Nothobranchius furzeri: one gene and its partners. The protein of the gene in region 3 purifies or fractionates together with the protein of the main gene of each other region. This does not show direct contact. Links are inferred from orthologs where the notes say so. Each region holds a gene or a part of one and is shown on either strand. Other genes may lie near its edges.

What was found.
Region 1: the proteins of mink1 (region 3) and strn4 purify together in Homo sapiens (affinity purification with mass spectrometry; 3 studies listed by BioGRID and IntAct, with this or other methods). This does not show direct contact. The link is inferred for Nothobranchius furzeri from reciprocal best matches to the Homo sapiens genes MINK1 and STRN4.
Region 2: the proteins of mink1 (region 3) and strip1 purify together in Homo sapiens (affinity purification with mass spectrometry; 3 studies listed by BioGRID and IntAct, with this or other methods). This does not show direct contact. The link is inferred for Nothobranchius furzeri from reciprocal best matches to the Homo sapiens genes MINK1 and STRIP1.

Annotation. Positions count from the first base shown.
Region 1 is NC_091753.1:40,954,649-40,958,301, forward strand, and holds part of strn4 (striatin-4), read right to left. Parts: intron 2,120-3,653; coding exon 2,016-2,119; intron 1,826-2,015; coding exon 1,749-1,825; intron 1,651-1,748; coding exon 1,572-1,650; intron 1,490-1,571; coding exon 1,304-1,489; intron 1-1,303. UniProt on the Homo sapiens protein: Calmodulin-binding scaffolding protein which is the center of the striatin-interacting phosphatase and kinase (STRIPAK) complexes.
Region 2 is NC_091743.1:46,749,256-46,752,908, reverse strand, and holds part of strip1 (striatin-interacting protein 1 homolog), read right to left. Parts: intron 2,133-3,653; coding exon 2,067-2,132; intron 1,976-2,066; coding exon 1,912-1,975; intron 1,825-1,911; coding exon 1,753-1,824; intron 1,645-1,752; coding exon 1,570-1,644; intron 384-1,569; coding exon 286-383; intron 1-285. UniProt on the Homo sapiens protein: Plays a role in the regulation of cell morphology and cytoskeletal organization. Required in the cortical actin filament dynamics and cell shape. Part of the striatin-interacting phosphatase and kinase (STRIPAK) complexes.
Region 3 is NC_091750.1:48,005,442-48,009,094, forward strand, and holds part of mink1 (misshapen-like kinase 1), read right to left. Parts: intron 2,592-3,653; coding exon 2,568-2,591; intron 2,184-2,567; coding exon 2,032-2,183; intron 1,965-2,031; coding exon 1,850-1,964; intron 606-1,849; coding exon 489-605; intron 275-488; coding exon 163-274; intron 1-162. UniProt on the Homo sapiens protein: Serine/threonine kinase which acts as a negative regulator of Ras-related Rap2-mediated signal transduction to control neuronal structure and AMPA receptor trafficking.

The DNA of each region.
Region 1 (3,653 bases), on a different chromosome or scaffold from region 3:
ACGAACGCTAATTTTAAATGTGACTTAGATCTATCAGGCGTTACTAATCCCAATGTTTCCACGTCTATTTTCTTTCAGCATCTAATTTAGTTCCTGTACGTTAAACTGAGAGTTACTGATCATATTTAAAAAACGACAAATAAAAAATCGGTTTCTCAGGGAACTTGCTCTTTAAAATAAATTTATGTTTTATAATTGTAAACTTTGATTAATGAATTTAGAAAACACTTGAACATATTTCTGAATATAATTGGTCACTGTGAGCTTTCCATGCAGGCTGAACATGAAAATAGTCTCCTACTCCTGTCTCCTGCATTAGCTTCCGATAGAAAATAGACGGTGAAACTCTAGGATTAGAAAAACCTGACAGATCTACATCACACGGTCACTTAACAATCATGGACTCACCCATCTTGACTCATGACGGGGGAGGCTGTTGGTTTAACAGCCAGGAAACAGCAGAGGACATCTCAACTAGCAGACGCTAACCATTAGCATTAGCATCTCAAACACACAGCAGAACTTCTCCAGGCTTGTATTATTTGTAGAGATCAACATTGGAGGGCAAACAGTCAGTGGTAGAGTTGCTGTTATCCAATCCAGGGCGAGATGTCCAAATATCAGGAAATAAGACTCCAAATCCTGCCGTCTGAAGCTCAGCTGTGGGTAACTGAGGTCCTAGAAATGGTGCACCAGTATAATTGTTTCTTCAAAGTATGACTTACAAGCCATTCGCTCCTAGCAGAGACCACTGCGAATGTATTATTTAAACGAGTAATCCACCGCTGTAAAATAATTTTTAAGTATTGTCACTATTTTTGACATACTAAAACCACTTCTTTGTCCAATGTCTCAAATCTATGAATCTGATTACATTTAATGTTTCTCTAGTTTTTATAAACCTCTGGATTTTTTTTTTACTTTTTCTGATCTCAGTTTTGAGTTAAAAACCTTGCCTCCGTCTACTGAAGCCTGTTTTGTTGTTATTTTTACTGTGAACTACGCCCAGCAGCATTAGAGGAGAAACTAGACTTGTCAGATTCATCCTGTAACTGTTATTAGCCCTGACACCATCAGTAAATAGGTGACTCAGGTTTATTGGCAGCCAGTTCCATCCCTCCACTTGAACTGGGTTGGACTGGTTAAGTGTTTTGAAAAATTAGCCCTCCTCTCCTTTCTTCCGATTGTTTTTCCCCCAAATAATTTGAGTTTTGTGCAGCAAAATGTGGAAGCTGTTTGTGCCGTCACTGCAGCATGTACGTGAGGCGTAACGTCAAAGATAGCGTCTGTATTTACGCCTCACCTTTTGATTTGCTCCTCTATTTGCCGGACCAGCAAGGACTCTCCAGCTGCTCGTGGCTCTGGCTCCTGACAGCTGTCGCCGGGCGGAGGCCCGTTCGTCTCCGGGCTGCTCCGACCCAGCAGGGAGCGCACACGTTTGGAGCGCATGTCCAAGATGGTATCTGAGTAGCCGACCTCCTCCAGATATCTGCAACCACAGACGGAAAATCAATAATAAAACACAAGCATAATATAGCATCAGTGGATTTGAAATTATCAGGCAAACTCACTTGCGTAGTAACTGACGTCCCTCCTTCCAGGACATCTGATTGGCTGGCTCAGAGTCTGTCTCAGCTGGTCCATTGAGAACTACAGAAAACACGTTCAACAAGCCATGAGTAGGAAAAAAAACACGTTCGGCTCTAAAAGATGCAGCATTCGTAGACAAGAACAAGTGAAAAACATACGCTGCTCTGCCTCCATCTCTGGCTTCTTTTCTCCAGGACTCTGGTCATTTCCTGTCTTCAGTTTCTGGTGCTTTGCCCTGGAGACACAAAACAAATCCCATCGGGAAAATTACCCGACAACAAGCCAATCCAAGGCTTTATTTACTAAACACAGCACCTGGAGAATGTACACAACTGTTAGATGGGGCCAAAACAGCCGACATCAGCTTTGTCCTATACATGTCCTATTTTATCAGAGGCTGCAGGAATAATGTGATGAGAACAAACCTTTCCTGTTTGAGGGCATACTCCAGCATTTTGATCCGCCTCACCAGGTCCTGTTTCATGTTCTCCTGCCCTTTCCGTTCACTCTGTAGGAATGCCACCTGAGCCTGTATGTAACGCACACACACACACACACACACACACACACACACACACACACACACACGGTTATGAATACACTTAATCCTTATTTTAAAAAGGAAATTGTGCAGATCCTACCACATGGGCTCATATAGGCCAACTAAAACCCAATACTTTAGACAACATTTTCATTTTTTATCCCTTTTGTTGCAAACGCCACAAAGAAGTGAAGAGTGACCGTAAAGACTATGTAGGTATTTCTGATTTACTTCTCTACAAATGCCATGATAAAAATATTAGTTCTTCATTTGCCGTTACAAAGGTCAAACAGCTTATTAAAACGTCTAGCTTCACAGATTTCCACTGGGAATGTTCTTTTTTTGGAATCTGATCAGTGGGGATTCAAGTTTGGAAAGCGTCCCACTCATCTCTGCAACCTTTAAATTACTCCACAATTTCCTTTTTGGACTCAAGTCTGGACAGGATTTCTTGACTATATTTAATATAATTTGGATGTTTTATATTTTGATAATGACCTTGGTACATTCAAGTGTTCCTCTGCTTCAAAAGGCCTGATTCAAATGAAAATGAATGGATTGGGTAGCCATTATGGGCAGACCAATATATCGACCAGTCGATATATCGGTCTGATATTTACTGATTTTAATACAACAGCTGATATTTGTCCTTAGTAAAGCTGATTTAAAGTCAGGCACATCTTTGGACAACCCAGTGCTGTTGCAGCATTTAATTTAAATGTATTTTTATGCTCACTAGTAACATGTGCATGATGAATACTCTAAATTACCATTATTAACAATGAGCTGTGCACAACGTTAAGATTTAACAGCTGGTTAAATTCAGAGTTCAAAAAGCACATCGGCTGACCATGCCTCCAACATATCGGCATTGGTATCAGCAATAGAGAAACCGTATCGGTCGACCTGGTTCTGAGATGATTCCTCAAAATAAACATAAATTTAAATGTGACTTTTACACTTAAGGTTCCGGAGTTTTCCCTTTTCAGAAGTTATATATGATTTTTCAGAAATCCGTAAGTGATCGTCTTATCATGTACTGTGATGTAATGTAAGCAATACGTCTTTGTTGATAAGAACGCCCTCTGCCCCGCAGAGCTCCGTGAAATAGGAACCTGAGCGCCGACCAGAACTAACCAATAGCGTACTGCTTACGTGCTTCAAATTTAAGGAAGTACCTCGGCTGATGCAGAGTTGATGAACTTTTCACCAACAAGTGTTTAAGATATATGAAAGCACAACACGATATGAGTATAATACTTGTAATGCGTGTTTTAGCTCTGTTTGTCGGCTACAGAAGCACATTCAGAAACAAGAAACATGAAGTCGCCATCTTAAAAAAATGGATCGAGTGACTATTTGTGTGATATGCTTGTCAGCCACCAGATGGTGCCATCAGATAAGAGAAACACTACCGGAGAGATACTTTAATTGTTAAATAGAGATAAAAACAGTAGCTAAAAAGGATAAAAATATGGTTGACTAGAATTTTTGTTTTATGGCTCATTAGCAACGTTCCCCT
Region 2 (3,653 bases), on a different chromosome or scaffold from region 3:
GAATTGGTACCATATCGATTCAAATGTCAAAGGTACCCATCCCTACCTACACCTATCTCCTGCATTAGCTTCTGATGGAAAATAGACAATGAGACTCTAGGATTTGAAAATAATGCTGTCAGGTTGTGTTATGCTATTTTATTCCTGCACCTCCTGTTCCAACACCCCCACCCCAGCAAGGTGTTCAGATGTTTGATGGCATGAGGGACAAAGTAGTTTCTAAGACTGGTCTGGGTTTGATGAGAACAACCGTTTTAGACATTAGTCAGTAAATTTTCCACTCACGGCATCTCCTCTGGCAGCACGTCTGCTAGGATGTTAATGGAGTCCGTTTTGGCTTTAGATGTGGGAGCAGCAGCCAGAAGGATCTTCAGCAGTGCAATCTAACATTTAGATAACAGAAAACATCATCTAATCATCTATTTAAGCTCGTTTAACTTAATCACACACACACGCACACACACTTCTTTGTTTACATTCAACTTTTCTACATTTTATTTTGTAGTATTTTACCTTTATTTATTACTTGTTTCTTCTAAATATTTATTTCAAGAAAAGTGTGTTCATTTTTTTAAAAGTTCAAAAGAACAACCCCCCAGGGGGAAATGAAAAATGTAGACCAGACAAAAGCGCAGGTCTCAGGATCTTAAATGTCAAACTCAAGTCGAAATAAATCGTATGCGTTTCCTAACTAATCCTACAGAAAGTATTAAAGTGATGTCATTGCCTAATCTTATAATTGTAGCTGATGTTTGGACTGGCTGCATTTCAGGTTCCTTCATATAGCTAATATAATTACCGTATTTTCTGGACTATAAGTCGCACTTTTTTTCATAGTCTGGCTGGTCCTGCGACTTATATACCAAAGTGACTTATATACCAAATTATGTATACCGCGGGCCGGCTCCGGACCAGGAATGAGCTCCCTTGCCCGCCATCACCTGCTGGAGACCGTGGCACGCTGCTGCAGGCCGGCTCCGGTCCAGGTTTCAGCTCCTCTGCCCCGCTGGGAGGGTTTCAAACACCGCCATCACCTGCTGCAGCCTGTGGCGGGGTGCTGCAGGTGCTTTCCCCACCCGCTGGGAGAGTTTGAAACACCGCCATCCTCTGCTGGAGACCGTGGCGCGCTGCTGCGCCCTGGTTGTTTATTCTGTTATTGTTACTTGTACTTGTCTTAAATGTGAAATGCTTGGTCTCAGACTTTGTAAAAAATAAAAAATTTAAAAAAAATTCCCCCCAAAATGTGACTCATAGTACAGTGCGACTTATATATGTTTTTTTCTTCTTCATTATACATTTTGTGGCTGGTACGACTTATACTCCGGAAAATACGGTACTCATTTCAGGAGATTCTTAATCTATTCTAGTTCGACACAGGTTGTGTGTGATGAATAAGCCCAGGAGAGAGCCGAGAACAGCCATGTCTATAATGACGTAATAATTACTTCCAAACAAGAGTCAGTTTAAGCTGAGATCTACAGCTGGAGATCCTGAACAGTCACCATACAGTGAGGTTTTATTAGTGAACATTCACAGTAGCTGAAAGTAGACCCTGTCTGAAGAACCAACCATGTATTGAGGCAAACTGGGCAGGATTCCCTGATAGAGAAGCTCAGTGGAGCACATCTCCACTTCTTCTTCTCCCTGAAAAGAAAAACAGAAAGGACAAGAACTGTGACCCTTCAAGCCCTCTGCAGATTACTGTTCAGGCCGCAATCAGGGTAAATTATTAAAGATTTGCTTTCCACTCACAACAGAGAGGGGAGTTTTCTGGTATTCCTCCTCCTTTGCAATCTGGATTTCTGCTATGGAAATATACTTATGCTGGAAAACCAAAGGGAAAAATAATCATTTAGTAACAGGTGTGTTAGGCTGCCCTGCAGCAACAGCTCCACAAACCTGTCAGCTTACCTGCTTTAGTGTCTTGATGCTCTCGTGAATGGGTCTGGGCAACCCAACCACTGTGTCAGTATCACTGCAGGACACAAAAAGCAGCTTTACGCTCCCACATTATGACGTTAAACAAAGCTGTTCTCAAGTTTGGAGCTGCTTAAAATCAAACCCACCTGCCGAGAGTGTAACCGATGAATTTACTTCTACTTGACTCCAGAAAACTTTCTATATCTTTTTCTCTGTTTGAGAAATAACAGTAATATCAGAAACATCTCAAATCCTCTAAGTAAACAAAAACAACTTATCTAAATTAGAATTTCTGTTAATTAGCATAAAAAGTATAGTTTTAGTGGTTTTTATGTCATGTTTTCATTTCTTTTACTATGAGCCTTTTTATTGTAACTTATTCTCAGCATTTCAGCAAATTGCTGTTGGTTTTACTGTATTTGGCTTTTTAAGCACTTTGGTCAGCTTTCATGTTGTTGTAAAGTGCTATATAAATACAGTTGACTTGACCCCCCCAAAAAAAAAACTGAATCTGTAGTCATGAACTGTTAAATCTAGTGATGCACCGATATGAAATTTTGGGCCGATACCGAAATTAAGATCACCGTTATGGCCGATTACGTAGGGTTAAGTTATGTAAACCCCGGTTCTTTGAGAACAGAGTGAGGTGTTTCACTATGGGAATCACCCTGGCGTGACCAACTACGGAAGCTCCAATGACATCACGTCTGTCCCTGACAGACCGGTTGCGCCGTGCCCAGGCTCCGCCCACCCAGTATATACATGGCCAACCAATCCCTCCTACTCATACGGACGATTTCTTACCGATAATGCAAGAAGGGAATTGTTGGTGAAACACCTCACTCTGTTATCAAAGAACCGGGGTTTACATAACGTAACCCTACGTTCTTTTTCTAACTTCGTTCGGTGTTTCACTCTGGGAGATATGGCCCACTCCCGGATTGCATGTCCACCCCGAAGCGAGCTGCAGCAAAATTCAGCTTAACCACTAGGCAGATGCTGTGCATCCGGCCTCCAGCACTGAATGCGCCAGTGAAGGTTGAGACACATCCAGCCTGTAAAACTGCGCAAAAGTTAGCGGTGTGGCCCAGCTAACTGCTGCACAAATATCCTGGACTGACACCCCCCGAAACAGGGCCCAAGATGTGGCCATGCTCCTTGTAGAATGAGCCCTCACCCCCAGAGGGGGTTCAGCACCTTTGCACCTATATGAAAGGCTGATTGCTTCTACAATCCAGTGTGCCAGTCTCTGCCGAGACACAGGTTTGCCTTTATGGGCCGTGGCCCAAGAAACAAACAACTGGTCTGATTTTCTGAGACCAGCAGTCCGGTCCATATAAGCCCTTAAAGCTTGAACAGGGCGGAGACAATTAAGCTTCTGCTCTTCTGCTGAGGAAAAAGGAGGTGGGTGAAAAGCCAGCAGCTCCATAGGGGAGCAGCTATAAGACGACTGCATTACTTTAGGCACAAAAGCTGGATTGGGCTGCAGACACACCTTAGTGTAGCCAGGGGCCCACTGTAAACAAGAGGGACTGACTGACCATGACTGAAGTTCACTCACTCTCTTTGATGTAGTTAAAGCTAAGAGCAGTGCAGTTTTTAAAGAGAGAAATTTCAATCCAGCCCCATCTACAGGTTCAAAAGGATGATGACGGAGGGCCTCCAGAACAAGAGAGGTCCCACAGTGGTACCAGTGGCCTAAAGACTGGTAGCTTAAGGCGAGCACCCTTCAT
Region 3 (3,653 bases):
AATGTAGTTTAATGTGCATCAACAACTTCATCCAAAACGCCACAATAGCATCAAAACAATCATGTTGTTTTCTTTATGTTTGACTGCAAAAGACAAATAAACAAGAAGACGAAAGTTCTCTAATAATCAACTCTAAGCACATTTAAAAATGTTCCGACTCACTGCTGATTGACATGTTATCTCCTGTTCCTCCCGGAGACTGGTACATGCCTAGATCTACAAAAGTAGTGAAGGAAGACTTGCCAGATGCCTTCACCAAACCTCTGGACTGATACTGGTGAAACAGAAAGGGTGGGTGAGATAAACAAGTCTACATAAACTCTGTGGAAACTTTCACCTTTTCACATCAGAGAATCATAACAACATGTGCTACTGATGCCAGTATCATACTGAAATGATGGCGTCTAGCAGAAATGATGGCATACATAGAAGAAATAAAAATAAACCCTAAAACCAGGGCTGACAAACTTAGCATCAGGACAACTTACATCATAAACAGAGTCTTTCCCAGGAGAGGAGTGAGTGGCTGATTCAGTGGGAGAGTGGGAAGGCTGCACCACATCTGGCAAGTTAGTGTATCCATTATGGCTCCTCTTCTCCGGGGTCTTTCAGGTCAAATAGACAGATACTTGTATTATGTGACGACAGTAAAGAAGCAGTAATCCCTTTAAACGTAGCTTGTGCCTTTTCTATAACAGGTCAGCTGCTTTATCGTCTCTGCAGGCTGGAAACATGAATGAGTTGAAGTCTTTACTGAGTGACTTCTAGCTGTCAACTCAATCAAATGTCAGTAAGTTCTTCAGACATCCTTGTTTTTATTTTGTGAAAACTGAAGAAAAGCGAGTCGACAAACTAACTTTTCCAAATTGCCGTAATTTTAATAAAACAAATTTTCCAGAGGGCATGAAGTCCTGTGAGGATGATGGCTGACCAATCCAGATGGTGACATAAATATAGGACAGCTACTGCTCCTGTGCTGCAGCTGAGCCTCAGAGCTGTCAGAGACGGCTGTGAAGACCTACTACTGTTAGCATGAACCTGCAGTGTGTGTCATTGTATCAATTAGGATACCAAAACTGTAATTTCACTATTTAAACCTCCCCCCCCCCCCCCCCCCCACACACACACACACACACACACACACACACACAAAACCCCTCAGTCAAGGAGACACTGTTCCTATTCAACTCATTAGGAGCCATCCAGAAATGCATGCTGTCATGGTCGTCTCCCCAAATATCTCAGAGATGCTTTATCTGACAAACTAACAGCATTTAGCTGGAGGGGAGCTTCAGGCAACTTTCATTAAAAACCTTTACAAATATTTAAGGGTCTAATAATAAGAAACCAGCAGATCACAGAATGAAGTGAATAATTTAAACAGTTGCATTGTGTCAACATTTAAATATATTGTTTATTCCTGTTTGATCTTTTATATAAACTAAATAACTGAATAAAAACAAATCCACAAAATAAAGTAAGGGACCTTTTTGTTTTAGTGTTGTTCTAAATTCTGTGTATTTCTGCACAAGTAAGGCCTGACGACTTTATGGAGGCAGATTAATGAGGCTTTAGAAATAAAAAGCGTTTATGCCCTTTATTAATTCTGTTAAACTGGAATCAAAAAAAGAGTTGCTATAAAAATGATTTTAAATCATTTTTGGAATTAGATCTGTTTGTTGAGAAGTTTGCAAAAACAGTAAAAATGATGTTATACTTCCTAAATAAATGTCTAACATGATGAGTTGAATGAATTCATCTCCCTGCTCTACAATATTTGCCACCATGCAGATTCCTCTGCAGAAATCAAAAAGCATCTTAAACATGATCTGAAGTTGGCGTGACTCACCCGCTGCACCAGCATGGTCTGGTCCCCATAAACTCCTGCTTGCTCCCCCTCTGCCTCGCCTTCGTCTTCATGAACCACCATGGTGTTGACCGAATCGGTGTCTGCATCCCTGTGACTGAACATTTAGGCCTACTCAGTTTTCCGTTACCTCATTTGTAAAAGTTTATTTGTGCAAGCATTACCGATCCGTTGGGCTTTCCTCCTCCTCTGCTGCCTCGCCACTCTCACTTTCTTCGCTACTTTCGTTGCTCTCTGAAGAGGAGGAGTAATCATTGGCCTTGACAGGAGGCCTCGGTGGCTCCTCGGCACGCTCCTTGGCATAGAGGCCATGATCCTGCACCCGCATACAGCTTTGTTTACTTTGAGAATGCATTCAAAACATTCTAAACAATTAAAGATGTAAAGAATGAGCACAACATTAACAAATGCATAATTACTATTTAGATTATCAAAAACATGAGTGAGGTCCCATCCAGAGAAAGTACTCAACTGGGAATCAAATGGTTTACAATTCAGGGCATCCTTATATTGGGAAAAATAACTAAAATAGTCAAATGGCACAAATTATAAACAGAATATTATTTAATTCAAAAGAAAAACAACGCCTCAAATGAATGAAGGCTTTACAGCATGCATGTGATTCTCCATAAACACGTAGAAGTCCAGGAACACCAATACAAATCCATGCAGGATCACACAAGACGACAGAGATACTAACCTCCCCTATTGCTCTCTTGTAACTCTGCACATTTGAGGTAAAGTCAAAAAACAAAACATGAGGAGTGATGTCATGGAGTCTGAAGTGTAAACAGAAAGTCCTTTTCTGCCTGGCAGCATGTAACTACTGATAACAGACATGAATAATAGATTCACTTATCAATTGCCTTACTGCGTGCAGTGATGTGTACGTCTATAGGAAAATAAACATTTATTCTACATAAGTTTACTTCCTCTGCCACTGCCTTTGTGATGATCAGTGCGAGTTAAACCCCAACTTTGTTTTTCTGCTCGTTAAAGGCAGAGTTTACTCATTTTTGTCAACCCATCTGCAGTGGTCTCTATATGAATGAGTGTGATCTCTGTGGGGTAAAAAAAGCTCTGGTGCTCCTGTTTCAGGAACTAGACGTTAGCCAGATGAGAGGTGAGCAGAAGATGGCAGAATTTGGTCTCATTTCCTGATATTCAGACATCTGGCCTCTGATTGGCTAACAGCAATGTGACTCTACCACTGACTGCTTGCTCTGCAACTTTGATGTTTTATCTCCACAAATAACTCAAGCCTGAAGGAGTTCTGCTGCGTGGTGGAGTTGCTAATGCTAACGGTAAGTTTCTACTAGTTGAGATGGGCTCTAGTCTTTCCTGGACACTAAACCAACCAACCAACCAACCAACCACAGCCTTCCCCGTTACAAGCCAACATGGGTGAGTCCATGAATGCACATTTTATATGTGATGTGGAATTGGCTGGCTGGCTTTTCTAATTCAATCTTTTACTTGTTTATTTACTAATTGACGAGTAAATGCAGAAAATAGAGGTAGAAGACTATTTTCACGTTCATCCTGCATGTGGCCAATCATAGCTCAAAGTTAACGATTAAAAAAATAGTTTCTCAGCAACCTTGGTCTTTAAGCACAAGAGGAACGTGATGCAGAAAGGGCTGTAATTAAAGAATCCCTGCTGTTAAATATATATTCATTACTGCGGCTTTAGACTGAATGCTTGATTAAGACGCACTAATGTGCTTGTCTAAGTAAAAGTGAGCATCATCTGCTGGTCCAGCCCTTATGCAGAGCAAGGAGTCCA